2 linked regions of the Yarrowia lipolytica genome follow. The protein of the gene in region 2 interacts with the protein of the main gene of each other region in a biochemical or structural test. Links are inferred from orthologs where the notes say so. Each region holds a gene or a part of one and is shown on either strand. Other genes may lie near its edges. The genes, in order: YALI1_B17968g and YALI1_D30474g.

What was found.
Region 1: the proteins of YALI1_D30474g (region 2) and YALI1_B17968g form a complex in vitro, tested with the Schizosaccharomyces pombe proteins (2 studies listed by BioGRID, with this or other methods). The link is inferred for Yarrowia lipolytica from reciprocal best matches to the Schizosaccharomyces pombe genes sim3 and cnp1.

Annotation. Positions count from the first base shown.
Region 1 is NC_090771.1:1,789,782-1,804,586, reverse strand, and holds YALI1_B17968g (uncharacterized protein), read right to left. Parts: upstream 7,765-14,805; coding exon 7,312-7,764; downstream 1-7,311. Other genes in the region: YALI1_B18012g (uncharacterized protein), read right to left, coding at 1,818-3,308; YALI1_B17998g (uncharacterized protein), read left to right, coding at 4,487-4,647, 4,715-4,880; YALI1_B17990g (uncharacterized protein), read left to right, coding at 5,498-6,916; YALI1_B17964g (uncharacterized protein), read left to right, coding at 8,119-8,967; YALI1_B17927g (uncharacterized protein), read right to left, coding at 9,137-11,833; YALI1_B17908g (uncharacterized protein), read left to right, coding at 13,625-13,723, 13,774-14,805. UniProt on the Schizosaccharomyces pombe protein: Histone H3-like nucleosomal protein that is specifically found in centromeric nucleosomes. Replaces conventional H3 in the nucleosome core of centromeric chromatin that serves as an assembly site for the inner kinetochore.
Region 2 is NC_090773.1:3,039,042-3,054,363, forward strand, and holds YALI1_D30474g (uncharacterized protein), read right to left. Parts: upstream 8,343-15,322; coding exon 7,227-8,342; downstream 1-7,226. Other genes in the region: YALI1_D30395g (uncharacterized protein), read left to right, coding at 474-525, 652-863; YALI1_D30420g (uncharacterized protein), read left to right, coding at 2,930-4,656, 6,103-6,235; YALI1_D30459g (uncharacterized protein), read right to left, coding at 6,311-6,790; YALI1_D30482g (uncharacterized protein), read left to right, coding at 9,097-9,184, 9,230-9,624; YALI1_D30506g (uncharacterized protein), read left to right, coding at 11,541-11,565, 12,103-13,439; YALI1_D30526g (uncharacterized protein), read right to left, coding at 13,462-13,580, 13,828-13,925, 14,537-14,556; YALI1_D30540g (uncharacterized protein), read left to right, coding at 14,944-15,129. UniProt on the Schizosaccharomyces pombe protein: Histone H3 and H3-like CENP-A-specific chaperone. Promotes delivery and incorporation of CENP-A in centromeric chromatin, probably by escorting nascent CENP-A to CENP-A chromatin assembly factors.

The sequences.
Region 1 (14,805 bases), on a different chromosome or scaffold from region 2:
TCAAAGCAAAAATGGCGCCTTCGGGTAGCAGCTAACAGCCAAGAACGACAGCTTGTGGGCAGTGCACAATGAAAGACACAGCCTACTTTCCCGCCACTCTTTTGTTTCTTTAACAGCTTCCGCGCTGGCACGTTTCCATTGTTTTCGACCAGAGCCTCTGTTTATGTTTTCCTTGCTCGCATTTTGTTTCAAAAACCATCATGCACGATATCCGAATAATCGCAAAAAGAATGAAGTGGATACAGTATAAGTGTGAGCCGATACAAGTAGGCAGTGCTGAGACATGTCCTGCACGTTGGGCGTGCTAGTTGCGTTGTGTCTCACTTGTCCCGATGCAGTCTCGGGTATATGAGCGGGTGTCAGACATTAGAGATGTACTCGTGTTGTGCTCGTACCGTAGGTACTCGTAGATGGGTTATATGTACAATGCGTTTTTTGGACACTGGAAGGTCCAATTGGCTACAGTACTTGAATACAAGTAGCCCACAGCAGAAGATCTCAAGCTCAAAGATCGTCAAGTGAACTCTGTGCTACTTCGCCGATCCCTCGTATCGAGGTTGCAGCTACAGAGGAATGAGACGAGGTCATGTTTAAATGCGGCAGTACAATACCCACGCGTGTTATTCAACGGTGGAGACAAGTCCACTGTTATCTATGTACAGTACAAGTATCCGCAACCGTAGTTCAGTATACTTGTATATTGAAGTATCATCATCACTTGATATTACTTTGCTGCATCATTTAATTTGATTTAGATAGACTCACACTCATGAGGATAGCTATTCCATGATATTCCGTGGCGCACAATACCATTAACCATCAAACCAGGGTGCATCTGATGAGCCAAAGATTTGAATGTTCTAATCACATTCATTCATTCATGGATTATACATACTCTTAATCTCAGAACCTTATTTTAACATATTGAGCTAGTGCGTGGAACACGTCCCACAAAACATGTCTGCGGATTTAGCTCAGTTGGGAGAGCGCCAGACTGAAGTCGTTCTTCGGTCAGAGTAATCTGGAGGTCCTGTGTTCGATCCACAGAATTCGCAATTTTTTTACATCTTATGATTTGTGTATTTGTACTGTATCGATTCACTGTGATTCTTTCTCTTTTTGATCTACTTGTAGCGCTGAGGCTAACATGACTTGTTTGATAGAATTAAAGGATGCGACCCAGGTCATTCAACCATCTGTACAGGTAGCTAATTACCGGTATGTACAATATTGTAACAATGTACAAGTAGCTGCTCATCTACTGTAGCCAACCACTTGGAACTCATTTAGGAGTCAAAAGAAGAATGAACGCATATATCACCAGCTTTTCTTATGAGTCAGATCACTTCGTCTACCTCCATTTCATCTAACAGTTTGTTTGGACAGACCACTTCGAGTATGAAAAGACAGAAAAATCTGTTGTGATATTATTGACAGTTCTGGTAAAAGTCTTCCGCTCCTGCAAACACAATGATCACTAATTGTTTGTAGGTGATGATGGGAAAGGTGGACATCTCAAAGCTGGTAATCAAGCGTAGTTTCTCTTCAAAAGAAGGATCAGAACAGACCTCCAGATGGTCTTTCATGACATCAGTCTATAGTGGGCGCACAGCCCAAGGCTCTCGAATTGCTCCTGACTGCGTCTGTTTGTTTATCCTCTGGCAACCAGCTCATCTCACCCAACTTCCGACTGTTTGTCCGTATAGTGCATCCTCTCGCTACGTCGAATCAGCCACGCTCGAATCGGCTAAAGGTGTCGTACTTTCGGCTCGTCTAGTTCAAAAATATATATGCTATGCTGATTAGAGGTGGGCTGACTACATGGTCATCTGCTCAAAGAGTGCAGAAATGCTCTCTCCGTGGTGGTTTCGTCGCATGCACTCGGCAAAGATGGCAGACACGTCGATGACCACCAGCTTGGTGGCGGCGATTCGACGTTCGACAGGTATGGGGTACGTGTTGGTCACAACCACCGAGTCGATGCAGGGGCAGGCCTGCAGCTGCTCGAGACAGTCGTCGTTGAAGATGCCGTGAGTGGCAATCACAACCACTCGCTTGGCACCACAATTGAGTCTGCAGTGCTCGGCGGCGGCAACAAAAGAGCCGTGCCGGTCAATCATGTCATCAACAATGATGGCGGTTCGGCCCCGCACATCTCCGACCAGCGTGATGAGCTTTTCTCGCTGGAACTCGTCGTCGTCATCGTCGGAGCCCTCAGCGTCAACAGAGCCTCCCAGCGCATGTTTCAGGTCGACTGACGAATCGGTGTGCTGAAGACGAGGTCGGGTTTCGGCCTCAGACTGGGCCTCGGACTCGGACTCTTCCTCAAGGTAGTCATCTCCCACCACGTGGCCCTGGACAACTCGGGCGGTCTGGACACCGTGGGCAGTCACAATGTGCACTCCCTCGTCCTCTTCGTCGTCAAAGACATCGTCTTCTCCCTCCTCACCAGGATTGAGCGACGGCCGTCGGCCACCGAGCTGAGAGGGCTTTCGGGTGTTTGACGACTTTCGTCGCGAGGGAACTGTGCCATGAGTGGTGTTAGGTCCGTCCTGCAGCTTCATGGATGCCCGTCGAGCGGTTCCGTTGAGAGGAGAGCCTGGTGCAGGCAGCACGGTAGGAGGAGCGCCTCGAGCGCCCTTCTTTCGTGGCGAGGCAACCGAGAAAATGGGGGCTTGGGCCAGGTTGAGCATGGACGAGTAGGGCTTGTGGTTTCGTCGTCGGTCAGTCTGGATCATGGCGAAGTTGATCTTGAGAGCGTCGGCCAGCGCTGTGACTCGCTTGGTACCACCGGGGTTCTTGGAGACCACCACCGCGTCCTTGTAGTCGGGGACATTGTGTCGAATCCACTGGGCCAGAGTAGGACCCGCATGGAGGTTGTCGACAGGCACGGTGAAGAATCCCTGCATCTGATTGGCGTGCAGATCCATGGTGATGACATGGTCGGCGCCGGCCATGGTCAGCAGGTTGGCAATCATTCGAGCAGTGATAGCGCCTCGATGCTTCTTCATCTTGGACTGCTTAGAGTAAGGGTAGGAGGGGATCACGGCGGTGATTTTGTGAGCAGAACCGGTTCGGCAGCCCGAAATCAGAATCAGCAACTCCATCAAATGATCGTTGACCGAAGGAGAGCCCGACTGCACAATGTACACATCCTCGTCTCGCACAGACACTCCAATCTCCACTGACGTTTCGCCGTTGGAAAACTTTTTGAGAGTGCAAGGGGCAGGCTCCACGCCGAGACGGTTGCAGATGAGCCCGCCCAGCTCCGTGTGGGAGTTGCCGATGAAGACTTTGGATCGACGCATGGATAAGACGGAGGTGTGGTGGAGGTGAGAGTATTGAGCTCTTCCAATTTTTTCTCCCACTCTGCAGCAGAAAACTCTATTTCACGTGGGCCGGCTAAGAAGGGCGATGAAATGAGGCGATAAAGAGGTAGGGGAGGGGTTATGAGTCCATCACGTGTTTTAAAATAGTTCAATTGTATATATTTTGTTTACTCACCAACGAGATTCCTTTTCCTTCACCTCACATCATCCTCCCGTCCCGTGTCAAAATGTCCACGTCCATGCAGCACTTTAGACCCAAACTGCAGACCAAAAAATAGTTGGAACGGTGCAAGAAACCCCCAGGCTCATGCTTGTCGTGCAGACGGATGCATTCCCCGGATTGAGGTGGGAGGAGAAGAGGGCGGTCTATTTGAGCTCCGAGAAAGCGGGTTATTAGTCGGACCTTTCACCCCCTCGTTATGGTCATGGACCCGCTTTAGATCTAAACGCTCTGGTTTAGCGTCTCAGCTTTAAACACACCGTCGCTGTCTTTCCGTTTGTCTCCGTTGTCCTCGGCTTGCTTTATCTGTCGTATTAGTGGTTGCCTTGAGGATGACAGTAGGGAGAGAGGGGGAAGAATAAAATGAGTGTTACAAGGCTCTGTAGTGATCAGTGATAGTAAATTGACGTAAATTAATACTCATTGTAATTACTTGTGCCGATACATGGTCTTCTCTTGTCCCCAAAGGGATGAAACAGTTCTGTTTCATTGTTATCCGCACATTAAATAAAATCAGGGATACTGGTTATGATGTTAGCGGGAAGGGAATCTCTACATAGTTTTTGGTCGTGAAATGGTGAGATCTAGTCTAGTCGGTGATAATGTATTATCATCTTTGCAGCTTCAATGTATATATTATAACTACGTACACTAGACTCTATACATATTCAAAGACTGTGTAGGGGTCTCTGCCGACCCTTACTGTAACACACACACATATGCTACTCCCATCCCTAACAGTGGCTACTGTACCTGTAGTTGATCTCAGAGGTTAGTAAAGAACAATTATGCATAATTGAGATTATAAAAAAAAGTGTGCAATATGAGATCAGACAATTACATTTTCATTTTCAATATATTCCCTCTTTGTGACATATGGGCAATAAATTTGACCATTTCTCAGCTGAAGCACCTCTCAGACTGACTATACTAGAAGATGACTGATGTACAGCGCTTTTCTCTCTCTCTCTCTAAAACCCAACTAAAGGTAGTTGGCATTGTACACCCCCACACACCACCTCATCGCTTCAGTAAAAAGCAACCCCCATCCTCTTTCACTAATATCTTACTAATCAATCCCCTTGCTAAGCTCAAACCGTAGACTCAATAACCCTCGAAATAACTCCGCCTCTGGAAATGTCTTAAACCGAAGGCATTAGAAAAGCGACGACGCGGTTCTAGAAGTTTTACTCACATGTCCCACCCTATCCGGAGCCAAGACGCGAGATTACGTCAAGTCACACAACCGCTTTTTTTGTGAGGGTCTTCTTCCATCCTTAATACCACCAATAATCGCTTTTCTCTACTCCGCGGTAACCTCTAACTTTTGATTCTCAGGTTTGTAACGAAAAGCCTTGATACTATTGACGAAAGGAGCGAAAAGTGAACGGGCTAAAAAGAGGTGATGGGCGTCTCGAATGCCTTGCGGACAGATGTGATGGTCTAATGCCTTATCTTAGGCTAGTAATATGACAAAGACTGAGAGGGGGAAGATAATCGTCTGAACAAGTGCAACCAGTAGTACACAAGTACAATAACAGCATCGCACAGTAGACACTCCAACCTATTTATAGATTCAAGCTCGATCCACAATTGAAGCTTGTGGAGAAAAGCGGGAACAAGTCGAGGTGGGAAAAAGATGGAAAACAAACGTTGGTTGGTGCAGGTCAATATGGCACACTGTACATATCGAGAAAGAATAAGGAACAAGTGGGTTGACAAGCCAGAAGAAAAACAACTTGATAAGACATTCATCTTTCGGTATAACCACTGGAAAACATGCTCTCATGAAGAAAAACACACAAACCCCTATCCTCTGTCTATACCCCAGCAAACTAACGCAAACCTTTGTTAGGACAAACTTCGGTGGTGGGCTGTATGAGTGCGCGAGTTAAGGCCTCTCTCGAGTTGTGAAGATATCTCCACACCTCATCCCATATACCACACTATGAGACCCTCAACCTATATCTGGGCGCTGGTGCTGGCGGTGACCACGCTGCTGGCCCCCGTGCACGCTGATCTAAGTTTTCTGGATCTCGACAAGCCCGATACCGTCGACAAGGCTCTTGCTCTCATTGCTGAGGGTCTTTTGGACTACTACCAGGGCTTCACCTATGGAGGAACCATTGGAATGTTTGTGCCTCCCTACTACTGGTGGCACGCTGGCGCCGCCTGGAACGCCATGATCGAGTACTGGCACATCACTGGCAACTCCACCTTCAACAACATCACCTTCGAGGCCATGAAGGCCCAGCGAGGAGACAAGTACAACCTCATGGTGCGAAACTACTCTTCTTCCGAGGGTAACGATGACCAGGGAGTGTGGGCCATGACCATGATGACAGCTGCTGAACGAAACTTCACCAATCCCGACGACGACTACGGATGGCTGTACGTTGCTCAGGGTGCCTTTAACTCCATGGCTGACCGATGGGACACTCAAGTGTGCGATGGAGGTCTGCACTGGCAGATTTTCCAGTGGAATTCTGGATACGACTACAAGAACGCTATTGCCAATGGAGCTCTTTTCAACCTCGCTTCTCGACTGTACAGATACACCGGTAACACCACCTACCTCGAATGGGCCGAAAAGATCTGGACCTGGTCCGAAAAAGTCAAGATCATCGACGGTGGCCACGTCTACGATGGTATCCATCTGCCCAACTGTTCTGATCGATCTCCCTACCTCTGGACCTATAACTCCGGTATCTACATGTCCGGAGCTGCCTCAATCTACAACGCGACCATGCTTCGAAACGGCACTAACGCCACTCTCGAGGCCTCCGTATGGATGAACCGAACCTACCAGCTGTGGAATGCTGATATCATGAAGGGAATTTTCTTTGGCGGCAACCAGAGCAACATCATGGTGGAAATCGCCTGTCAGCAGGTCACCATCACCTGTAACCAGGATCAGAGAACTTTCAAGGGTATCTACTCGTCGCTTCTTGGCCAGACCGCTCAAATGATGCCTTCTCTGGCTGGCTCTATCCTGTCCTACCTGCGTCCTTCGGCCTATGCTGCTGCTCGAACCTGTTCTGGAGGTTTTGACGGACATACTTGCTCCATCAACTGGCTCACAGGCGAGTACAACGTCTCGTACATTGGTCTCGGAGAGCAGCTGTCAGCTCTGGAAGTTATTCTCAACACCCAGATTCTCAACTCCACTGGTCCTCTGACCGATATCACCGGAGGAACCTCCAAGGGTAACGGATCTGCCGGAACCCAGGGAGACAACCCCTTCGGAACAAGCCAGGACGATGCCAGTCCTTTGGATATTCATGGAGGAGATCGAGCAGGTGCCGGTATCATCACTGCTGCGGTCGGTATCATGTTGATTCTGGTCTTCTGGTTCCTCATTGTTTAAGTTGAGGATCCGGCTTGGGAATGAGCAGCGACTGGCTGTCCTAATGACATTATTCTGAACCACCAGCTGCACACTGGTTGTGTTTTGGGTATTGGAAATAATGAGAACATTACATGGAGGATTAGATGGCAGTATAAGGCTGTATATAGATGGTAAATTATTGTGTTTAAACGGGCTGAAGATCACTGTTGTGCCGTACAGGTACAGCAAAGATGTTTGTAACAAACCTTTCAAGGACCAGTTAGGACAGCACAAGTAGTCTCACCAACAACAACAGAAATATAAAAAAAATATGTATTGTACATATAAAATAAATAAAGGCGCATGCTCATCTCTCAGTTTCCTCTTCCTAGAACCGCGCAACCCCAAACAGTGTCCTTCACCTGGTTATCATACTAACCAGCACCTCCCCATGCTCCTCGAATACGTCTTGCCAACTGCATATCTTTTTGCATGATGGTGACACGTTTTGCATGGATAGCACACAGGTTGACATCTTCGAACAAATGGACAAGGAATGCTTCCGCCGCTTCTTGTAGTGCCAGCAGCGCCATACTTTGCCACTGCAAATTTCCGTACTCGCTGCCCAGATAATTGAGGGCCACCTCTCGGACGACTCGCGCAAACGGTAGTTTGGCAATCAGCAACTCAGTTCCACGCTGGTACCTGCGGATCTCCTTGAGGGCCTTTTGTCCTGGCTTATATCGTGGCTTGGTGATTTTCTGTGTCGTATCTCGTCTCTCGCCTGGCAGAGTCTTTCTCGTCTGACCCAGGGGGTGCAAACCTCCTCCTCCTCGAGGTTTCCCGGCCACTCCGGCTGATGATGAGGCCAGAGATATCCGTGCCATGTGTGGTTTTGTATCAAAGTGTGTTGGTAGCGAGGATGATAGTTTGCACGCGTCGCGTAATTTAGGAGGTTAAGGTGTGGGATGCATGACAGTCTAGATATAGAAGAAGGGCGCATTTTTTTAATATTTTTTGGGGGGAGAAAGGGGGGAGGCTATAGAGCTTATAAAGAATAAGTAACAAATCCAAAATTAATGAGTTTTACTAAGTAGTTACATATCCTGTTCCCATTCAAGAAGAGGGACTTTTCTTCCATCACCATTCCCTTCTTGGACGGTATTCTAAAACTCTATTTGGACCATGCAGAGTGATGCAAAAAAGTTGTGTGTATCAGTGAGATCATCACCGCAGACACCATGGGATACAGCCGGCGACGACCACGAAAGGCGTGGGTAGAAAAGACACCCAGGGAACTTGTGGAGGGACTTGAAGAGCTCAAGCGAGATGTCAAGCGGTCCAAGTTCTACGACTTCTTCCAAACCCATCTCCAACAGACTCTAGAGAAACACAGCACCAAGGAGTTTGCAGATATCCAATGTCTGGCATTGGGCAAGCCTGCAGAGGACGAAGGAGTGCGATACCAGCTGGTATTGTTGCTTTTGCTGGCCGAAGAGCTCAAGATCCCTCTGGACAAGGTAGTCTGTACAGAACCTATGTTCACGGCTCGAGATGAGGAAATGCTCAAGCTGTTAGGAATGAAGACCGTGACAGGGATGTGGGATCCTGATTTCAGAACGAAGGATGTAGAGGAGGAAACAAAATCTGTGAAATCAGATACACAAAAGGCTGACATGGAAGACACAACAGACATAGCCGCAGAATCTGGTGACATCGAAGATCTGACCAAAAGCATTTCCGAGGTGAAACTTCAGCCGACAGAGTCTTTCATCTACGCACCTCATGCACCTGTGAACGTCAATGAACTGCTCTTCATCAATGCAGACTTCATTGTGGCCAACTATCTCGGATCCTATGACACTCGGTTTGGAGATGACGAGTTCAAGCAGAAGTACCCTGCTCTGAGCACGATACTACAGTCTGAAAAAGACCTGAAGTGTGAGTGGGAGATGATCGAGATTCCTGATAAACTGTCCAAGGGCGAAGCTTGGGCTGTGGCGTACAATGGATTTGGTATTCATCGAAAGGAGAGAAAGGCAGCTGCAGCGGAGGAGAGGGAAGAGAAGGAAAAGACGCTGAAGGAGTAAGGCAAGAAGGAAGACAAGGCATAGATGTAGTGAGTCAATTATTTATACGATCTTACTTATTACTACACAGGAGCACTCACACAATAAAAAATGCACTTAATATACAGTTAATCTAACATCAACGTAAGTAATAAGAAGCTCAAGGGCAAAAAACAACTCTGAGGCTCGTTTAAGAAATGTTGACGGGAATAAACTTGGAAGGCATGGACACCCGGTTGAAACGAGTCTGCAGCTTGCCAATGACCAGATCCAGGTCCAAATGTCGAGTGAGACCGACTCGTGGAATACAAGAGATGCAGTGCTTTGAGTCCAGCTGAACATCCAGAGGAGACTGGGTGTTGCATCCAGGCGAGATTGACAGTCGAATGGAGTACTTCTTCTCGCCATACTCATCCGCCTCTACACTCTCATATAGCTCAAAAACAATCTGGGTTAGGTAGTCCAGCTCGGGAATCACGTTTCGGGCGATTCGGGTGTTGATGCCGGACTCGTAGATGATGTTGAGCAGGGTGTAGATGTGAGATTCCTTGGTGAAGTAAGCAATCACACCTCCAGTCTCGGCCTGCTTCATCTCGTTGAGCTCGGACAGAATCTCCTTGAGCAGAGGCAGACACGTCAGCAGACCAATGTCCAGCTTCTCCTTGTCCTCGATACCGTACTCCTGGGGACAAATGAAGTCAAACAGAATCTTGGCCAGTCGGTACAGCTCTCGAAGATGCACGTACTGGGGGCCATAGAAAGTCTGCTGGGGCGACTTGCCGTTGGAAGATGTTTTGGTTTCGTCGTCACTTGTAGGCGTAACAAGAGGAGTCTTTCCAAGAGAAGACAGCTCGGGAGCAGAGACGTTAGGGATGTGGCACGAAGGGGGAGCAATTTCGACACTCTCATCGGGCTTGAAGATTCGCTCGAGGAACTGTCGGTTATGCAGTGCATCGAACTTCATAGCGTCATATAGCTCGGAGATTCGAGAAGGGTCGACCTTGTCGGGCGAAGTGAACTCGGAGAAAAGCTTATCCCATCGCTCTCGGAACAAGAAAGGGGTCTCCTGGCAACACCATCGAGTCTGAAAGGCTTCAACCTCCTCGGGAGTGTGGTTGTTGAAGTTTCTCTCCATGACCTTGTGGTGGTACTTCATGAGCTCGACGACCCGCTGCAACACAATGAAGGGCTCGGGAATCTTGTCGGGCCAGGTGAAATGAGGGGGAGGTGGGGTTCCCTTTCGCAGAAGAGGCTTAAGCTCCTTCTTGACCTTGTCCATGAGGTCCTTGGCGGCGTTGGAATCATCAAGAAGACCCTTTCGAACAACAATGAAGTCGTCAGAGACCTCCTCAACACCTAGGAAGGCAGCTGCCCAAATCTTGGCACTGGCAATGACTCGTCGTTCAGAAGATGAGAGACACTTGACATTCTTGAGCAGGTTCTTGTTGACAATCATGAGATCCTGACGCATCTGGTCACCCATGTCCTGGGCCTGGTATCGAGCCGAATGAGTGGGTTCTCCTCCCCACTTGGCCACTAGTTGCACCTTCTCAACCTCGCCGGTGCTCTTATTGATTGTGGGCTTGATCTGGACCTTGGTTCCGGGGAAATCCATCTTCTTCTCCAGAGCAATGATCAGGTTAGCCATCTTCTGAGGATCCTCGTCAGTAGCCTCCCTTGTGGCCCGTCGAGTAGTCTCAAGCACCTCCATCAGACGATCCTTCTCTCGGTAAAGAACCTCCTCCTTGTGACCCTTCAGTAGATCAATGAAGAGAGGATGCTTAAATGAGACCTTGATCTTCTGCTTGGGGGTTCGGTCTGCGTGTCGAATCACAATAGCCTGGCCCTTGAGAACCCAGGACTGGTGCTTCTCGGGCTGAGGAGCAGTGTTAGCGATGGCTCGGTCCTTGTTTCGCTGCTGCTTAGCCTGCAGGAAGATCTGTCGCAGAATTCGGGCGCAGTTGTCGTAATATTCGTGGTTGTCCTTGACGAAAGAGAAACCGTTAACATCAATGACATACGACTCACCTTGGGCACGCAGCAGATCAAAACCGCAAATAGTCTGCTCAAAGGTCTGAGAGACCTTGCTGGCAAACTTGATCTCCTCGTCAGTCAGCTTGGTCACAAACCGCAGCTCCTTGCCATATGTGTTCCGTCTGACAATACCGTCGACAACGGGGGACTTTCGGGTCTCAGCGTGACAGTAATGGGCTCCAACAGTGTACGCCTTGACATCCTCCTTGTTTTCGGTGTCCATAAACTTCTCGTAAATGTACGAGCCGTCCATCCGGACTTCACAGAGATCCTGGTCAAATTCTGAACTCTTGTTGCCGACCTTTCGGAATAGTCGTCGACCTCCTCCTCCCGACGACTTGGGGTAGTAGACGTAGATGTTGTGGTCTTCTCCATCCACGGGCTTCTCGACGAACGGCTTCGTCATGGTCTTGCCATCCACCATGACGGTATCCTCGTCAACCATGTGACATTCGGACTTGGGCTGGGGAGTCAGGATGACATTGTGTTCGGCCAGCTTCTTGGCCAGGTCAGGGTCGGCCTTTGCGCCTCCGTCTCGGGTGCAAATGAGACGAGGAGGGGTTTGAACATTGGCCGAGTCGAGCAGGTCAAGCACGATACGTCGGTCCCACAGCACTTTTTGCAGAATGAGGTCATTGACGAGGAAGGGTTTTCGTAGCTTGACGTAGGAAATGGCCTTTTCGAGGGGAAAACCGGATGAGAAGAAGGAAATGAGAAAGTCACACGTGGGCCAGTTCTCAATGGGCTCGTCCAAAATCACCTTGTCTCCAAAGACAACGGTTTCAAATTCGCCCGTGTCCAGCAGCCTGTTGAGAATGTGCCGACATGGCTTGGATCGGGCCTTGACGTCCATCGCACAGACACCAATTTTGCCAATCTTGGGAAGGTTGGACAGGTCGGGGGTACCAGAGGCAGCTCTGATGCTAGAGAAGGAAGAGGACCGTCGGGCTCGGCCCTCAACAGCAGCCTTTATTGACGACGTGGAGATGGACGAGTCCGAGGGCTCGTACGAGGATGCGGGGGCCGAGGCCGACACGGTCGGAGACGGTTCTGAACATTTTTCCACGGGGGGGGGTGTGGTGGGTGGTGTGAAGATGTGTGAGAGGTAGACCCGATGTCGACGAGATCAGCTTTAGGGTTCAGACTAATGCTGCGCTCGACAATTGGGAATATCGAAGCAATGATTCTGGGGTGGAGTTTGGATGACAAGGAGAGGGGGTAGAAAGATGAAAAAAAAAGAAATCGATTTCAAAGGAAGTTTTACAGCGATTGACCTTTTAAGATCCGACATCGGTCTCTGGTAAAACAACTTTTAATACTCCCGTTTGTGCTGTTCGCTGCTTATGGTTTTGGCTAACACCAGATGCATAGGCAGCGTGGTGCAGCGAGCCATTCTACTGGACTGGAGCTACAAGCAGCTGATTGGGAAATGTTCTCTGGCTGTTTTTGGAGTGGTAAAATTGATTAGACCACTTGTAGTTATTCTTTTGTTTTATGAGTGAGTGACGTATACTCTTGGCAAGCCACCCCCATCTGAGTTCTTCCGGTTATCTACTGTACGATACCGTCTCCACAGCTCGATCGTCTATGCAGCAGCTTCGCCTTGTTTGGTGGGTTGATATAGCATAGCACAGAAGACCTTAAGCCGATATATACTGGGTGATATCGACAGATTGAGATATAGAATGACCAATTCTCAGTCTGTCTCCAATTCAATAAACTCCCACCTACTATAATACCCCACAATAGTGGCTTTACAGTCCCCTCAATCTACTCCATTGTATCTATCCACGTGCTCGCTATTGTGGAGCCAAAGTTTCGTTGCCGCTCACATGCAAAGAAGACAGACGTATCGTGAGCGCAAGGCCAAATGTTACAGTGGTGTAGAAGGAGGGCTCTATATAGACAGTGTCGGCATCTCAAGTTGCTGGGTCGCACACATCCCGTTGTTATTAATCGTTTCCACCAGTCGTTCCAATTTGGATCTTCCGATATAGTTTTGCACGTCTTACTTAGAAGTAATTGTTACGAGCACACTTGTAGTGAGACAGAGCACTGTAAGTACCATACAGTATGATATACAGTATGTACTTATTTGTACTTTGAGTGCTCTATGTGCTACTTGTAGAATATATATATTATATAATATATATATATATATATATTATATATATAAAGCCTTTCGGATGTTTCAGAGTCGAGTGTCCACTACTGATGCTAACAATGCTACAGAGCTGCACAAAGAGGAGCATTATTTTATTTTATTTTATTTTATTGTATTTTATAAACACCACCACAAGTAGTACTTATTTTTATAGTACGTACGTACATTTTTCATAGACAGTCCTTCAAGTACCAACTAAAAATCCAACAAAAATTTCCCTTCACTTGAAACCGAACTCTATCGCCCAACTTGAAAATATAAACAGAACCAGTTATTTCCACTATCACTAAAAAAGAACACGAAGAATACTCTCGGTATACTTCTACTATCATTTCTGCATCTCATCCTAACTTCTTACATATCCTCATATACTGTACAGATTATGACCCATCCAAATAAACTTCTGGCATGCACGACCCAAATATTTTTTTCCAAGCTGCATCACACAAATCATAGCGTTCCGACACCCGCTCTAAAACGATGCCTGCGATTGAAAAAAAGCGAAGAGTGGAGTCTGACGAGGTCACTGTGCGTGACAGACTTGTCGGAACCCCCTCTAAGATCTTCACGCCTTTCAGAGTGAGTACTACACCCCCATCACTACACCCAACATCACCAAACTAACACAGACTATTGGACATGTTGCCAACTCCACACCTATTTCCGTGTCATCTTTCGGCCGAAACTTCCTGGTTGCATGCAGTGTGGGCCGAGCCGTTCAGATCTACGATGTTTCGACGCTCCATCTCATGTTTGTAACCTCTCCTCAGACCCCCGCGCCCATCCAGTCGCTTCATTTCCACCGACCCTACGTTTATGCCACCTGGGACAACTGTATTGGCGTCTACTTCCGTGGTAAGCTACTGTACAAGCTGGAGTGCGACACCAAGGACAAGCTAGTGTGTGTGCGATCTTTCGGAGAGAACCTGGTGGCCATCAACAGCTCACAGATCTTTGTCTTCAAGCGAGGCCAGAAGAAGGAGGAGCAGTCTGACGACGAGGACGAGGAGGAAGATAGAGACGAGCTGGACCCTCCGTTTGAGTATTACACCACCGTGACTCTCGCCAACTCTGTGGGAGCTGCGCACTCCATCATCCATCCCCCCACCTACCTCAACAAGATTGTGGTGGCAACTCGACGGTCTCTATTGCTGGTGAATATTCGAACAGGCAAAGTTGTTTTCTCCACCAACGAGATTGGATCTGACGACGAGATCACCGCCATTGTTGACGCTCCCGTTGTGAACTACATTGGAGTGGGAACTGCATCCGGAAAGGTGCACGTCTACAACCTCAAGCTGGGTGAGCGACTCATGGCCTTTCACACCGGCTCGCGGGTCAACTGCTTGTCGTTCCGGTCGGACTCCTTTGCCCATCTGGGTGTCGGAACCGCCTCCGGAGATGCTTTCTTCTTTGACCTCAATTCCCAGAAACGTCTCCACGTGCTGAGAGAGACTCACGAGGAGAGTGAGGGAGGAATCACATCGCTGGTCTTCCTGCCCGGAATGCCAGCTTTCCTCACATGCGGTGGAGATAACTCTCTGCGAGAATGGGTGTTTGATCCAGTCATGTCGGAGTCCAACAAAACAGTCATTGCACCTCCGCGAGCCCTCAGACACCGAGCTGGTCACAGTGCGCCCCCCACATCGATCAAGTTTGTT
Region 2 (15,322 bases):
TTCCCCAAAAGGAGTTGAAAACATAAAATTATTGTCCTTCAGTCAGCCAGTGGTGCTACCCAAAGTTGGTTTTCCATATTGACTCAGTGATGATTTCATTTCGCACATATTTGCCGGACCAATACGAGGCTAACAAAGTTGAATGCGAACACATGTCATAAATGGGTTGCTTATCTGACTTACATGACTTACATGGAGTCGCCATCAATCTTCAACTCTACGTATTTCAGAACATGGGACCCACAAACAAGGTTTCTTGGCGCCCATCATATGTGCATAGCCGAGAGAAAGACGTTGACTAAAAGTGCAGTCACGTGTTCTAATGAGTTAGAGAGGAGAGAAGAGTTTATGGAAATCCGGTAGCCAGAAACCCCTTTTTGTAACGCTTGCTCTACTACCCCAGTTATCTTCAAGAGTCTACTGAAGTTATGTTTTTCTCCAAAATATCATCTCGATGTCCCACACCTATCCAAATGCTACTGGACCACGCAGATACGCCGTATGAGCCCAGGAGACCTAGCTTGGGTCTCACAATGAGCGGTTGCTACACCGTATGCACTTATTATTGAAAATATAAGTATAGTACAGTGTGCTGATGCTTCCACTGCTTCTTTTTCAACCCATGCCGCATCTACAGGACGAAGAACTCAGACAACAATACTCAATCTTCTGACATGGACACTCGAATCGACAAATTGACCGCCATTGTCGAGCAATTAGTGTCCCACAAAGAGCAGGAATCGAAGTCCTTTGAGAAACTGCTGGTGGACGTCTTGCGGATCCCGTCCTGGACCACCCAGACGTTCTTCACTATCGGGCTCTTTATTTCCGCCTGGGCGTTTCTTGCTGCCAACCAATGCTAGCGGGTTTGCGAGAGTGGTAATACTGAAACCTCTGGTATTTGGATGTAACAAAAACTGTGCTGTTGCTGTTTTTTATGCCTGGTCATGTCATGTCGTGGAAAAGCCGTGGAAAGTACACTTGGAGCCATACGAAGAGAAGACACGATTCTATTATTATTGGTAAGTGTTAGATGAATAACCTTGGTTACGACTTAATTCCATACACAGAAGCGCGCTTACTGTACTTATCTAACTCACCTCACAGCGTTGCGATGTTCTGAGGGAACCCTTCAACTTTCAAGAGGTAGGACACCACGGTATTTTTTCACGGATTTTTTTTTATTTTCATAATAAAATAACGATTCAACTAATTACTGTGTATGAACATGAGAGGACTGACTTTTGAGTAAGAGGGTGGAAGGTGTCAATTTCAAGACGTACGTATTCGGAAAAAGCAGGATACACAGTAAAATAATAAGAAAGATAAAGAAAAAGAAAAAGAAAAAGAAAATAAAGGGCAAAAACTGGAACAAGTAAAATATTCACCTGGAATACTACTACGTCCTCCCGGGTAGCTTCTTCAGCAATCAAACCAGAAGTAGCGTGAAAAATGTGACTGATACAAAGGCGTCACAACCCAACTCGCACCTCCTCATTAGTTCTATGAATCAGCCAATTGATCTACGCTAGATGGCATAGACATAGGACAAGTGCAGTGACTCGGATCTCAACGTCAAAAATTCGGGCTCCGCTTTTCAAGCTGCTGAAGTTGCGTCTCTGAGAGATTTATTCAACATCTGTCACATCGGTGATTGGGTAAAACGTCGCAGCTCTCTTGACTCCAGTTCCATACATTAGCCTGTCACTGTGGCTTATCTTAGACCCACAATTGGAGCCGTGCAAACTATATAATACGAGCAGAAAAGAGAGGTGTCGGTAGGTGGTCGGGTTTTATACCTCGCTATACTTAGAGCATTGTTATTCACCTAGTGGGTGAGATGAAAAACAACAAAACATGCCGTTTCAGCGTGCATCAACTTAGCTTTTTTGTGCTAACATAACCCCCACAGCACACTGTGTGTATGCTCGTGTTCAAAAGTCGACTCTGAGCTGTCGTTTTGTTCAACTCAGACATGGCACTGATGTCACCTCCGCATTAGGCTGCTTGTTTAGACGCCAAATTAGCACCTCGCTTAATTCTAATTAGGCGTTTTAGCAGATACACTTTGGGCAGTGCCAAAAAGTGGGTACCTGGAGATAACGGTTGTAGGTGGGGCTACCGTGGTTGGACTGGGATGGAAAGTGGATCTGAAAAATTTCTGAGCAGCGACGAATTTCAGACCTATCTCTTTGTGTCTGAATCGCATAAGTAACGCGCGGTTTATTACTGCATTTGGTAATATGAAAAGTGCCGTGTCTTGGCGTACGACAAGCAAGAACAGGAGGCGATAGAGTAGGATTTTGGAGCAGCTCGATGAAGGAAACGTCTTTAAAGAGTTGTTATTGTTGTTATTGCTGCTGCTGCTGTTGCTGTTGTTGCTGTTGTTGTCATTTAAAGAGTTGGCTACTTGGAAGCGTCAAAAAACAGGCACAAGGCCCTATTATACTAGTAGGCCTGTTCAATAATTTCGATCTAAATGTTTGAAACTCCTCCCCTGACACTTGGCGTCCAATCTATCTGCTCCATTCCTCTATCTATGCGGGGCATCTGTGGCTTCACTGATACCGCCAAGTGAGTGTTTGATGGCGATAGTGTTTGGCATGATGAAGTAGAAGGTGGAGAGATCAAGTCGATGGAAACCGACTTTAACGTGACAAAAATCACATTTTTCGGAAACTGGAGTTTTCTTTTCTACCTCTAAATTCCCAGATTACTTCCATCACCCGTTTCTGGATGTTCGTATGGACATGTTCTGCCCGATGTGCGAGATACTACTCTATATCATAGCTTAACTCTTATTACACCAAGAGCAGATCTCCCTTGGCACACGGCTCTGTGGCTGTCAGATAGCAACACGTAGTATATAGGCGGGTTGGGGGCATGGAAAAACGTCTATCGACTTTTTATCGTCTTGCCACTGTTCGTCATGACTCAACATCTAGGAGATCATCTGGAGGACCACCTGGAGCCTTCCAAAGAAGACGGTCTTTACTACAAGGACACTGACCAAAAGACTACCCACTCTATCGATAAAGACGACAAAAACGAAATTGAATTCACCGAGATTGAAACCACATCGATCATCTCCCAGGGATACTCTCAGACATGGGCCACCTACACCGATGAACATAACCCCGACGGGCTCAGAATTGCCACAGACGAAGATCGAGCGACTCTAAGACGAGTAGCTGCTCCAATTGGAGCCATGACTTACATGCTGTCTCTTGTTGAGTTCGCAGAGCGAGGCTCGTACTATGGTCTGACCAACGTCATTTCCAACTTTGTCCAGTTCCCTCTCCCTAAGGGCGGAAATGGCTGGGGAGCCACACCTGCCGGTTCTCAGTTGACAGCGGGAGCCCTAGATCAGGGTCTTCAAGTCGCCACGGCTCTGACTCTGGTTTTGCAGTTTTTATCCTACTTGACACCTCTTCTAGGAGCCTACCTTGCCGATTCCAAATATGGACGTTTCAAGACCATCTGGGCCGGTACGATCATCTGTGGAATTGGCCATATTGTGATTGTGATTGCCGGAATTCCCGGAATCATAGAGCACCAGAAAGCTGCTCTAGGAATCTTTATTGCTGGACTAATGATCTTTGCCTTTGGAACCGGTCTCTTCAAGCCCAACTTGCTTCCACTATTGCTGGAACAGTACAGAGAAGACAACAACTGGGTGAAGAAGATGCCCAATGGAGAACTCGTGGTGATTGACAAAGAATCGACTCTTCAACGAATGACTCTCGTCTACTACTGGTCTATCAACGTGGGAGCTTTTCTTGGTCTGGGAACTGCTTATGCCGAAAAAAGAATTGGTTTTTGGCTCGCTTTTCTGGTTCCCACTATTCTCTACTTCTTCCTCCCCCTGTTTCTCTGGATCATCAGAAACAGGGTTTACAAGGCTCCTGCTTCTGAAGATTCTCTCATTGCTGGATTCTTAGGAGTCATCTACCAAAGACTGTTCAAGAAGGACTCCACATACTCCGAGAAGTTTCAAACTGACGTCTGGGCCACTCTCAAAGCCACCCGCTTCTTCCTTTTCTTTCCAATCTACTTTATCAACGATGGAGGCATTGGAGCACTGTCTAATTCTCAGGGTAGTTCAATGATCACCAATGGAGTCCCCAACGATCTTCTCAACAACTTCAACCCTCTCACGATTATTGTGGCAGTACCGATAGTCAACTACGGACTATATCCTCTACTGAGACGCTACAAAATCAACTTTCGGGCCTCGTTCCGAATCTTTTTGGGCTTTATGCTGGCAGCTTTTTCTCCCATGATTGGAGCTATTCTTCAATGGAGAATCTACGAGACTTCCCCCTGTGGATACTATGCCACCCAATGTGAAGCTGGAGTAGCTCCAATCACCATCTGGTGGCAAGTCTTCCCTTATGTCTGTACTGCTTTGTCTGAGATCTTTGCCATCACTACCTCATACGAACTAGCTTACTCTCTGGCTCCAGAACATATGAGATCACTTGTTATGGCACTGCTACTGTTTATGTCTGCCTTCAGTACGGCTATTCAGACAGGTCTGACTCCGGCTTTGGTCGATCCGCATCTCATTTGGCCGTTTGTGGGCATCTCAGCAGCAGGAGGAGCCTTCGCCATCGCCTTTCTCTTTTGCTACTGGAACCTCGGAAAAGGTCAGAAGTTGTCAGTCTAGGAGGTGAATAATAATAGTAATTAATCATGTGTTATTGAGTCACGATAGTGGCATTCACGATATTAGTTGAAGATTCGTGTAGATGTTGTTTGGGCGTCAGTCAGCTTCAGGACAACTCTTCTAAAAGAGCATGCCACCTGACGATAAGCGAAACCTTTTTATACCGTAATATGGGCCACGTGATCCCACAGCAAGTGCCCGATTTTTTTTCACGTTACTGCAGCGTCGCTGGGGGTCGTACCTTGTTTAGCTCTCAACTAGAGCTAGGTAAATAGAAAAGGCACTGATTTCCGTAAGTGGCAACATCAGCAAATGTAGGCAGACTCGTAGTAAATATTATCTTATATTTTCATTTATAAGGGTACAGGTTTCACAATAAGACATTTCATACCGTCCTAAGATACCTGGAACACCGTTTTTGTACCCTAAGTGATGTTTCTTCTTAACTAATTTCTAACAAAATGGAAGGAATAGAGAACGCGACCGAAGAGCCTTACTAAAGCGGTTTTAAGTGAGAAACGCAGAAGGACTTGACTCAAATAGTTACTAAACATATTGGTTTTTGAAATGATTAAAATATTTTATTGCTTTTTTATTTTATTCAAGCGTTGAGTCATCATACATCACCAGGCACAGTCCAGAATTCTCAAAGTCGGCACATTCCTGAGGACGTGGCGTAATGGTAGCGCATTGGATTTCGGTTCTTCTGAACGACGTCCTCCAAAGGCTGCGGGTTCGAGTCCTGTCGTCCTCTTTTTTCCAGCAGGAGAGACGTTCTGGTGGTATTTCTGTCTTTGCCAGTTCGCTCGTATTCTACTTTTTTACTGTTCCTGCATAATCGAAACTCAGTTGAGATGAAAGGTAGGAGTTGTGAAAATGAGAGGGTGTCACGGGATCAAGGAATTTATGGTACTGTAAGATTGAGGAGGGCGAGGTGATTCTATTTACCTTTTTATATTCTTAATTGGAGCATTTCGGGTGGACTGGAGCTCTACTGTCTTACCCGTAAGTGGAACATCATGACAAGGACACTACAAAATGCCGAAGACTGAACCGATTCGAGCGGTCTAAAAGGAAACTTGATCTAGCAGTCTCTATAAGCAATTGTTATCACACAAGTTTCGTTGAGAAATGACTGTAACGATGACTTCTTGTAAAATCACTGTGGAACACCGGTAGTGTTCACTTGCTGCAGGTGCATAAGGCAAACAGGGAATACGAAACAATCATGTAGACAATGATAGTCACGTGGTCTGTACCAAAAAGACCGCCCGAGCGAGCTCTACAGGTGGATTAACTCGATTTCCCAGTAGCACAATATCTACTCATTACAGGCACCGTTGCTTGCACGCCAAAAGTGCTCCACTTCATGAAAACATTCTATTAAATACCTGTTATCCTTTTTCCTCGGCAGTTGGAGATGACACTGAGAGGCTGACAAAATGGATGTCACTGATCAACAGCTGTCTCCTCTCTTTCAATAGCTGTGACTGCGATGTATATTCTCGCAGCCTCAGTGTCCACAACTATCCAGACATTCATATGCTCAAGACTGTGCGCTCATGATAATGCGCTCAAGACGGCGCGCTCATCACTGTTCGCTCACCCCAATCATCGCAGTTCCAGCTTCGCTCAAACTGCTCATGATTGTTGCTGGACAATTTCCCCCTGCACCTTTTCATCAAACACATTCACTCCCTGCTTTAGCGCATCAACCAACAAACCCAGAGTGTTGTCATTAAAAGTCTTGCTCGTTCGCAGCTCGTCCATATCCTTGCCAAACTCGGAGGTGACCAGGTTCAGGTAAAACTTTTGAAACTCGGGGTTGGCTGAGTCAGCTGGAAGAGATTGCAGTTCTGCTGGGATGTCCATAGTCTGGGCCGAAGCGGCAGCAGCAGCATCATCTTTGTCAAACTCCATCATTTCGACGTCACCTTCGTCGATTACGTGATTTGTAGTGTCTTCGTTGTCTTCATTATCGTCTTCTTCCGCCCGGTCAGATTCACTGTCACTGGAGTCGGAGTCCGAAACTTCGGCGGTTCGGGCCTTCTTTCGCCGCCGTTTCTTGGGTTCGTCGCTTTTCACGGCCTTGTTGTTTCTCGAGTCGCTTTTGGCCGACATGTTGTGCTGAGACGAATGGGTAGTGCGAGATGTGAAAATATATTCTGCAACGTGGTTTCATGCATGTAATATGCGGGTGGTGCATTTAAGAAATATACCAAGTAATGTGACCGAAGCTAACAAAGCCTAACTATTGTTGGAGTCCTTGCTTGCTAGGTGATTTTAGGAAAACAAAAAAGAGGAAAACAAAACTAAAAGGAGACAAATAACAATCGGATTGGAAAATAACTCCATTAGAGCCATGTATCCATGTGACAATGGTGCTGATTTCTTCGCTAACCAAAACTGTGCAATCAAGTGACGGCAGAAAACCCCAATACACGAAATCAACAGGGGTGTCTTAGGCTCTTAGTCGACTACAATCCAACTCGATTCAAAACAATACAATATTAATTATACACCAGTAGCGACCATCCCATTGGTTTCTCTCCTACTCCTACTCTTTCTTCTCTTCAGTCTCCTCAGCAGCCTTCTCCTCCACCTTGGCTTTCTTCTCTCCACTCTGTTCATCCTCTACGGCCACAGGAGCAACTCGCTTTGGGGCCTTCTTTCGAACAGCCAATCCAGACAGGTCGTTAACCTGCTTCTCTCCTGATCCGCCGACACCTGCAGCAGCCATAATGTTCTTGACAACATCATCAGAAGAGTTACCCAGAATACCTTCCATGACGGCCTGTTTCTTGGCATCGAAGTCAGCCTGACCCTTGGCAATGGCCTTGAGATCTTTGAGCCGAATCTCCAAATCAGACACTAGATCGTCGTCTTTCTCGCCAGTCATGGCAATTCGCTTCTTCACCGAGTCAATTGCCAGAATCATCTGATCCACGGCCTTTTGCTTGTTGGCCGAGTCCTCGGGACAAAACTCGAGGGCCAGAGAGTACTTGTAATGAGCCTCACTCATGACAGTTGATTGGAACTCATTGTGTTTATCCTTGAGCTCTACCGACCGTCCCAGATCTACCACGGCCTGGTTGAAGTTCTCAGACTCGAGAGAAATCTCGCCCAGGATGTCGTACACCTCGGCCAGCTGTTTCTCAATCTCTGTGATCCGCTCCGCTGAAACCCCCTCCTCGGCAAGTTCATCTTCAAACAACTTTCTGGCCAGATCAGTGACTTCCCAAGCCACCTCAAAATCAGTCTGAGGAGCTTCCTCATCTTCTCCTTCCTCTTCTGCCTCCCCCGCATCACCTTCTTCAGCCTTTTCCTTTCCCTTGCTTTCAGAAACCTCCTCTTCGACCTCTTCAACTTCTTCGACCTCCTCTGGAGCCTCTTCAAACTGAAAAGCTCCAGAAGACTTCACAGGAACCTCAACTTCCTCGCCAGTAGTCTCTCCGGGGTTTTCTCCGCCGCCAAGAACATTGGAAGAACTCACTCCGGCCTGGAAAAGAGCCCGACCGTAAAGAAACAGTAAATGACCATCTTCCTTGCCAGTCTCGTCACTGTACTTCTCACACGCCTGGCCCAGAGTCTCGGTGGCGCTCTCGTAGTGCTTCAGAGCGTATGCCTTGGAGCCCAGAGCCACCAATTGCTCGATTTCAGCGCTATAGGTCATGTTGTGGTGTTTGTAGTGGTGTGTAGAATGTATAGTACAGTATTCCAACAGAAATTTATCGTGTAGAGACGCGTCCTTAATGGAACTTTAAATGGTGCAGTCGACGTCGAGGTCACGGCTTGTTCTGCTTAGTAACAAAAGACTTGCTACCAATCAAAAGTAGCTGCCTAACTGACCACGTGACGTGGTCGCTTTCTAGTCATAATCTGATCGTCATCTGATTTCCCCAACAGGCATGTTCTGGGTGAAGTCTACTCAGGCAGCACCTACTACCGAATGGGACACTCCCTAAACGGTCTCTTGGGATTTTATCCCGAATTGGAAACTTTACCAAGGTAACTTGAAGGGGTGAAAACGTGATCCAGAAGAGATATCAAAATTTTGAGACCACTTTCCTACTGAAATATAGGCATTGTGATCACAACAGAATACCTCGCTTAGCTCTAGTATAGCTGGAGGTTGAGTTAGCACTAAATTTAGGTAAACTTCCATTGTATGTCACATAATCCAGAGGAACCGTCTGAGGAGTGTCGAAAGGGTTTCACATGAGCGTTTCTTCCACAGCAGCTAGAGAGAAAATGAGGCACATAGGCGTTTTAGGTGAATCCTTATATAATATCAATACAAATGTTACTATCTCTTCTCTATCTTTCATCCATTGTTCGTGTGTGAGCTAGGTTACTACAAGTAGCTGTGACTCCTAAGGAACCCTCTCAGCTTGCCTTGCAGTGATATTGGCGCACACCAAACATATATGCGGACTCGTCGCGGTCATACTACCATAAAAAAGTGTCTCCCGATTGTCTCCCAGTCCACGCACACGCATCGCAGAAGCCCGTCAAGTTTCATAAGCTTCGTTTTGTCTCGTCAACTGGAGCCCGTTTGAGGAGAGTCAAAAGACTTACCTTCTAATCCACCTCCAAGAGCTCCTACCGACAATCCGAAGGCACCATTGTACTCCCCACACCAACATTACATACCGACACTCTACCGTTTTGAACTGGCCGTACGGACTAACTCATTTGAAAGATATAATACCAGATGTTCCTCGGGAGAAACGCCTACAACCAAAACATCATGTTGTGTGTTCAACACCACAGCAGTCGCGATGTTTCTGGCGCCTCTCAACATCACCGCGTTTGTTGTTCATGACACTCCAGGCGAGAACGTTGAGTACATTTTCCACGAAACCAGCGAGCAGTGCACCGAGCCGAGAGACAGGGTCCGACCGTGTCTCGTCCACTACAGAGGCCAGGATACCACCTGGTTCACCTCCTATTGAAGCGCTCGTGACGACTATGAATTCATGAGGCCGGCCTCAGGTCTAATTTTACGAGATTGAAGATCAGCGGTTGACTGACCATCCTAGACACGGTTAGGTTGAGCAGGCGTAAATGAGACGTCTATCGACTACAAACAGATTGCGAGCTCTTGTTGTTGTTGCGTATGCCGACAGGATCTCAACCAATTGGTTGAAACCTGTAAGGCCAACAATTCCCAACCCTTGAGGCATACATCTGGCTACATCTAGAAGGACACGAGACAGATGAATGGTCAGGGAGAAGAAGCCAACCGCGCTGAAACCGCGGTACATGCTCACGAAGATGTTTGGTACAACAAAAGGCCATGCTCATCTTATTGGTTAAGAGACAGCAATGGAGAAGATGTTCCCTCAGGCAGTGGTTTTAGGGGAGCGTACAGCCAGCCAAGTATTGTCCTATGTGAGCTACTTGTAGTACATACTGTACTACTGTGTGTATGTACTGTACTTAACTGCTGTACGCAACTGTTGTTCATATAGAGAGTTCAGTGACTGGCGCTGAGTTCACTCTTTACCGAAGTGGGATTTCGACTACACTACATTAGGTACTGTTGTACATACTTGGGATTTAGTTGAAGTCTCCGCAGAGTATTGCATTCTATTATTCTACACCATTTTGTTACATCCCACTTGATTCAACTCACTTGATACACCCACTGAGATTGTCCATACTCGTCTCACTCGAATATCAACCATATTCGACTTCTAATCACAGCAATTGGACCCTGCAACTCTTTGCGGTCATTTTAGTAACTCTTGATGTTTCCCTTGGTATCGCTTCCTTTCTACTTCTGCATGTGTATCTGTTGTTAACTGATTCAGCACATCATGTTGAGCTCGTATAGTTGGTTGTATAGCGAGATGAACGCCAATTGTCTGATGCACAATGATATACGACCAAGTGGTCACCTCTTTGAACGCTTCTCTTTTCAACCAGTCTCTTCGTCCTCTTCTCAGCCTCCCACCTACTACTACAAGTACCCCCTTACCCCTTTGGAGAGCTCATTTCCAGCTCCTCAATCCCAGACAAGTCATTCCACAGTCCAACAGCTCTCGGAGTGTGTAATTAAAAAAGCACACTAAGCCTGAATCAGTGTGATCTATCTACAAGTAGACCGAGCCCTAGACTGAGTATGGAGCACGTGATTACCTACAACAGTGACTAACCACAATAGCGACTCAGTGGTTGCACGTCCTCCAAAGTCATTCTCGCACAGCTGAGCCCCACATGTTCATCTTTGACATCGATTAGTCAGCTTTCTTAGCCACCTCATAGCTCACCCTGAAACATAACCCCTATTAGCTTAATAGCAGTCTAATGTGAAACACGAACCCTGCACGAGATTCATGACAGATGTGAAAGACACTTCCAGAGACAGTATAGGTAATCCAAGACTATTGTTGGATTCTGCTAGGCCCAAAAAATAGATCCCCGCTTTCAAATTCGCCATTGGCCCACTTTTGCGAAATGTGCCCTATGGCTGTCAACACCACTATAAGAGAGGGTAATGGGAGAGAGATACATGTGAAGTTAGTTAATTGCTGCGGGGATGACATCATCACGGGACCCTCCTTTGTAGCACGTGTATTCGGCCTCCCCGTTCAGTCACGTGCCTCTGTTTCACACCCGCACACCCATCTCCATACTCATCTCTCGCCCCCCTATCCTCCCCTGCATTCTTCATTCAACCGGTCAAAGTCTGTTTTGCAGGTAGCCCCGTGTGAGTCTAATAACGTCAAGGTTTGGGACAGACACGTACGAACTAACCTAACCACCTCACAGACACCACCACGCACCCAATCTCTCATCATCACATCTTGTGAGTCCTTTCACCTTTTGTAAGAGCGACACACACACAGACAACCGACATTTCGCCATGGCTGAAATGATGAGTGATATCGGTGAGTATAGAGCGGGAGGAGGGTTTCTCGAGGGCCTTGCACCCCTATGACTGGGTCAGGGGGTGAACACAGACACAGACACAGACACAGAGCCAGAAGAGGTTCCGTGTGAAGAACACAGAAGAGGGGCCGGTGGACACAGACGATAGCAACAGCAACAGTTAAACTGGACACGTGACATTGACGATATCAGTTTTGATGCGACGTCTTTGTGTCTGTGTGACGATGATGTGAGGAGCAGGTCGGTGGAAGAAGAGTTGGGATGGCGGTACAACATAAAACTAGCAATTGAGAAAACGCGTCACCAGACCTGCTCCCCAACTCCTCACACTGCACAACGCGATTTATGTCACCCAATGCCTTTTTCACCAGGTCAGGGAATGACATGAGATGACTCCACCTCCAGCCGCGATGGACGCGTGATTTGGTGTATTATGGATCTCATGTAAACGTACGCAACCAGCGAACTATTCTCCTGCCTTTGATCGCGCTCCTCCCTCGACTGCACCCCTAAACACATTTTCATGGCTAACCCAGAACCTATCCACGACGAGGCCAAGGTCGCGGAGCAGGCTCCCTCCATTGCGCCACTGGGACTGGAGCCCACCACAGACAAGTCGCTCGGCAGCAACGCTGCGGTCTCGTCGGCCCTGCCTGAGACCAACATCATCCGCAAGAAGCTGAGCGGCTACGTGGGTTTCGCCAACCTGCCCAACCAGTGGCACCGAAAGTCTATCAAGAAAGGCTTCAACCTCAACGTGCTCATTGTTGGCGAGTCCGGTCTCGGCAAGTCCACGCTGGTGAGCACGCTCTTCAACAACGACCTGTATCCCCCCAAACCGCGCAAGGACCCTGCCGCGGAGCCTCCCAAGACTGTGGAGATCCAGTCGGTGACCAAGGACATTGAGGAGAACGACGTGCGCCTGCACCTGACCGTGATCGACACGCCCGGCTTCGGCGACTTTGTCAACAACAGTGACTCGTGGAAGACGATTGTGGACTACATTGACAAGCGGTTCGACAACTACCTGGACGCCGAGAACCGGGTGAACCGAACGTCCATCAACGACACGCGGATCCACGCCTGCGTCTACTTTATCCAGCCCACGGGCCACTCGCTCAAGCCCCTGGACATCACCGTGATGAAGAAGCTGCACAAGAAGGTGAACCTGATCCCTGTGATTGCCAAGTCGGACACGCTGACCGACGAGGAGATTGAGAACTTCAAGCGGCGGATTCTGGCCGACATCCGGCACCAGGAGATTGACATCTTTGCTCCTCCGCAGTACGAGAACGACGACGCCGAGTCCGTCACCGAGACGCACGAGATCATGTCCAAGGTGCCCTTTGCCATTGTGGGCTCCACCCAGCAGGTGCAGACCGCCGACGGCCGAACCGTGCGGGGCCGGTCCTACCCCTGGGGAGTGATTGAGGTGGACAACGAGGAGCACTGCGACTTTGTCAAGCTGCGTCAGCTGCTGGTGCGAAACTACCTCGAGGAGCTGCGGGAGAAGACGGCCCACACACTGTACGAAAACTACCGAACTGAGAAGCTGTCGTCGCTGGGCATCCAGCAGGACCACTCTGTGTTCCGGGAGGTGAACCCCGCGCTGCGCCAGGAGGAGGAGCGAACACAGCACGACGCCAAGCTGGCCAAGATGGAGGCCGAGATGAAGTCTGTGTTCCAGCAAAAGGTTGCCGAGAAGGAGCAGAAGCTGAAGCGGTCTGAGGCCGAGCTGTTTGCCCGACACAAGGAGATGAAGGACCAGCTGGAGAAGCAGAGGCTGGAGCTGGAGGAGCGCAAGGCGCGGCTCGAGGCCGGTCGAAACACCCAGGACGACCGGAAGCCCAAGAAGGGTTTCCTTCGGTCGTAGGCACCCGGCTAATTTTGGCCAGTTAAGTTAATGGGGAGTTGAGAAGATGCTTAATGCTTGGTTTTTTCGAGAGATATAAAGGTAAATGGATGGGTAACGTAACGCGGAGTAGAGTGGCTGAAGGTTGCGAACGACCAACCACTGGTAGTAGCGTATTTGATGCACAGATAAAAGCACCATACTCCATGGTTAAGAGTGAGACACCAGCAATGGGGATGAAGCCTTGAGGTAAGCAAAGGCTTAAGACGTGCTCTTTTCTTGTGTGTTAATGAAAGCAATAGGGTGGTACAAGGGAGCATACAAGTGCGAGTATGTTACTGTATGACGATGTTACTGTATATGGAGTTGTAGTCATACAGTTATATGTAGCATCTGGGCCATGATATACGGACCATTCGCACAAGGAAGTTAGAGCCGAATTGACCTTGGAAGATCTCTCGAACGGGTAACTGAGGCAGCCGTGCGAGCGTAGAATCTGAGAGGAGACTGGGGCATATTGTGTGACGATGGCTGCTCCAGTGTGTACAGTATCGATACGTGCTACTTAGCTCTATTGATAGCTTGTGTGGAAAGTGTATCTTCTGTTAGATGATGAACTATGGCTTGACTACTTGTAGTATTTTAGCCATGGGTGGGTTGAGTTTGTGATAGTAGCAGTAGGAATGAGAGTATCTCAAGCGTCTTTGACGTTTATAAGTCATTTGTTCAATATCTGGTCGTATGGTATAGACAGACATACTTGTAGATGGCTTACTCAGTTGTATACAGTATGTACTATAGGACAAACACCTGGAAGACGGTTCAACACCACATAGGGTGGTTAGAATGTTTTATTTTCTATGTAGGGTACGTTGGATATCTCTTGATTTCCTTTTCTTCATCTCGTGTACATGGTGGTATTGATTTTTCGTATTTTTTCCGAGATTGTTAGGATTTTTCCTTTGACGTTTGAAAAATCCTTGAAATTCGCAAGAAATTCAAAACTGCCGTGGGCAACGCATTTCGGTTCAAATTGAACTTCTTTTTTTTACTGGCCTGGCGCCGATACCGCCTCATTTCCCTTCCACCACCTCGTTTGTTGCTCTTGGCCCACTCACGTTGCTTTCACGCTGGTCATCGCGTGAGCAATGCACAACTCCATTGTTTCAAATAGACTCACAATGGCGCTAATATAACCGAACCACCAGTGGAGCATGTCAAAAGCGGGATTAAGTGGCGACTAAACGAGCGGGGAACCGCTGCGGCGGGGCGGGGCAGTGACTTACCGAGAAGATATTTAGCCACACGGCCAAAAAAATGCCGTCCTCCAATCGCATCCTGTCTACTTGGGCTTGTCTTGTCACTTTTCATCGTTGCTCTCGCTTCTTGCTGCACTTCCTTGCTACAGCTGGAACCTTGTTTTTTGCTACTACGGTGCATATGGTCCCAAGAGAGTCGCCGCCTTCTTCATATCGTCTTTGAAACCAACCCTCTTGACATCTGACATCACCACGGAAATCGCAAAATGTCCACTCCTGTCTCTGAGCCCCTTCATGCCACTGGCCACGCCGCCGGCACCACCGCCACTGGAGCCACTCCTACCGGCACTGCCGGTACCACCACTTCTGCTGGACACACCAGTGCCACCCCCGGCGCTTCTTCCACCGGCCCCAAGAAGGGTTTTGTGCAGGCTCTTGAGCCTCTGTTCAAGGTGAGTACGAACGTGTGCCATTTACGGGTAATTGAGCTCAACTGCGAGCGTTAGCGAGCAGCTCTAAGAAGAATTTAACAGGCAATGAGTCGTGGTGGAATGACTCCGACCGGCATTGAGTCGTGGAATTGAATGACTCCGACCGGCATTGAGTCGTGGTTATTGAATGACTCCGACCGGCATTGAGTCGTTG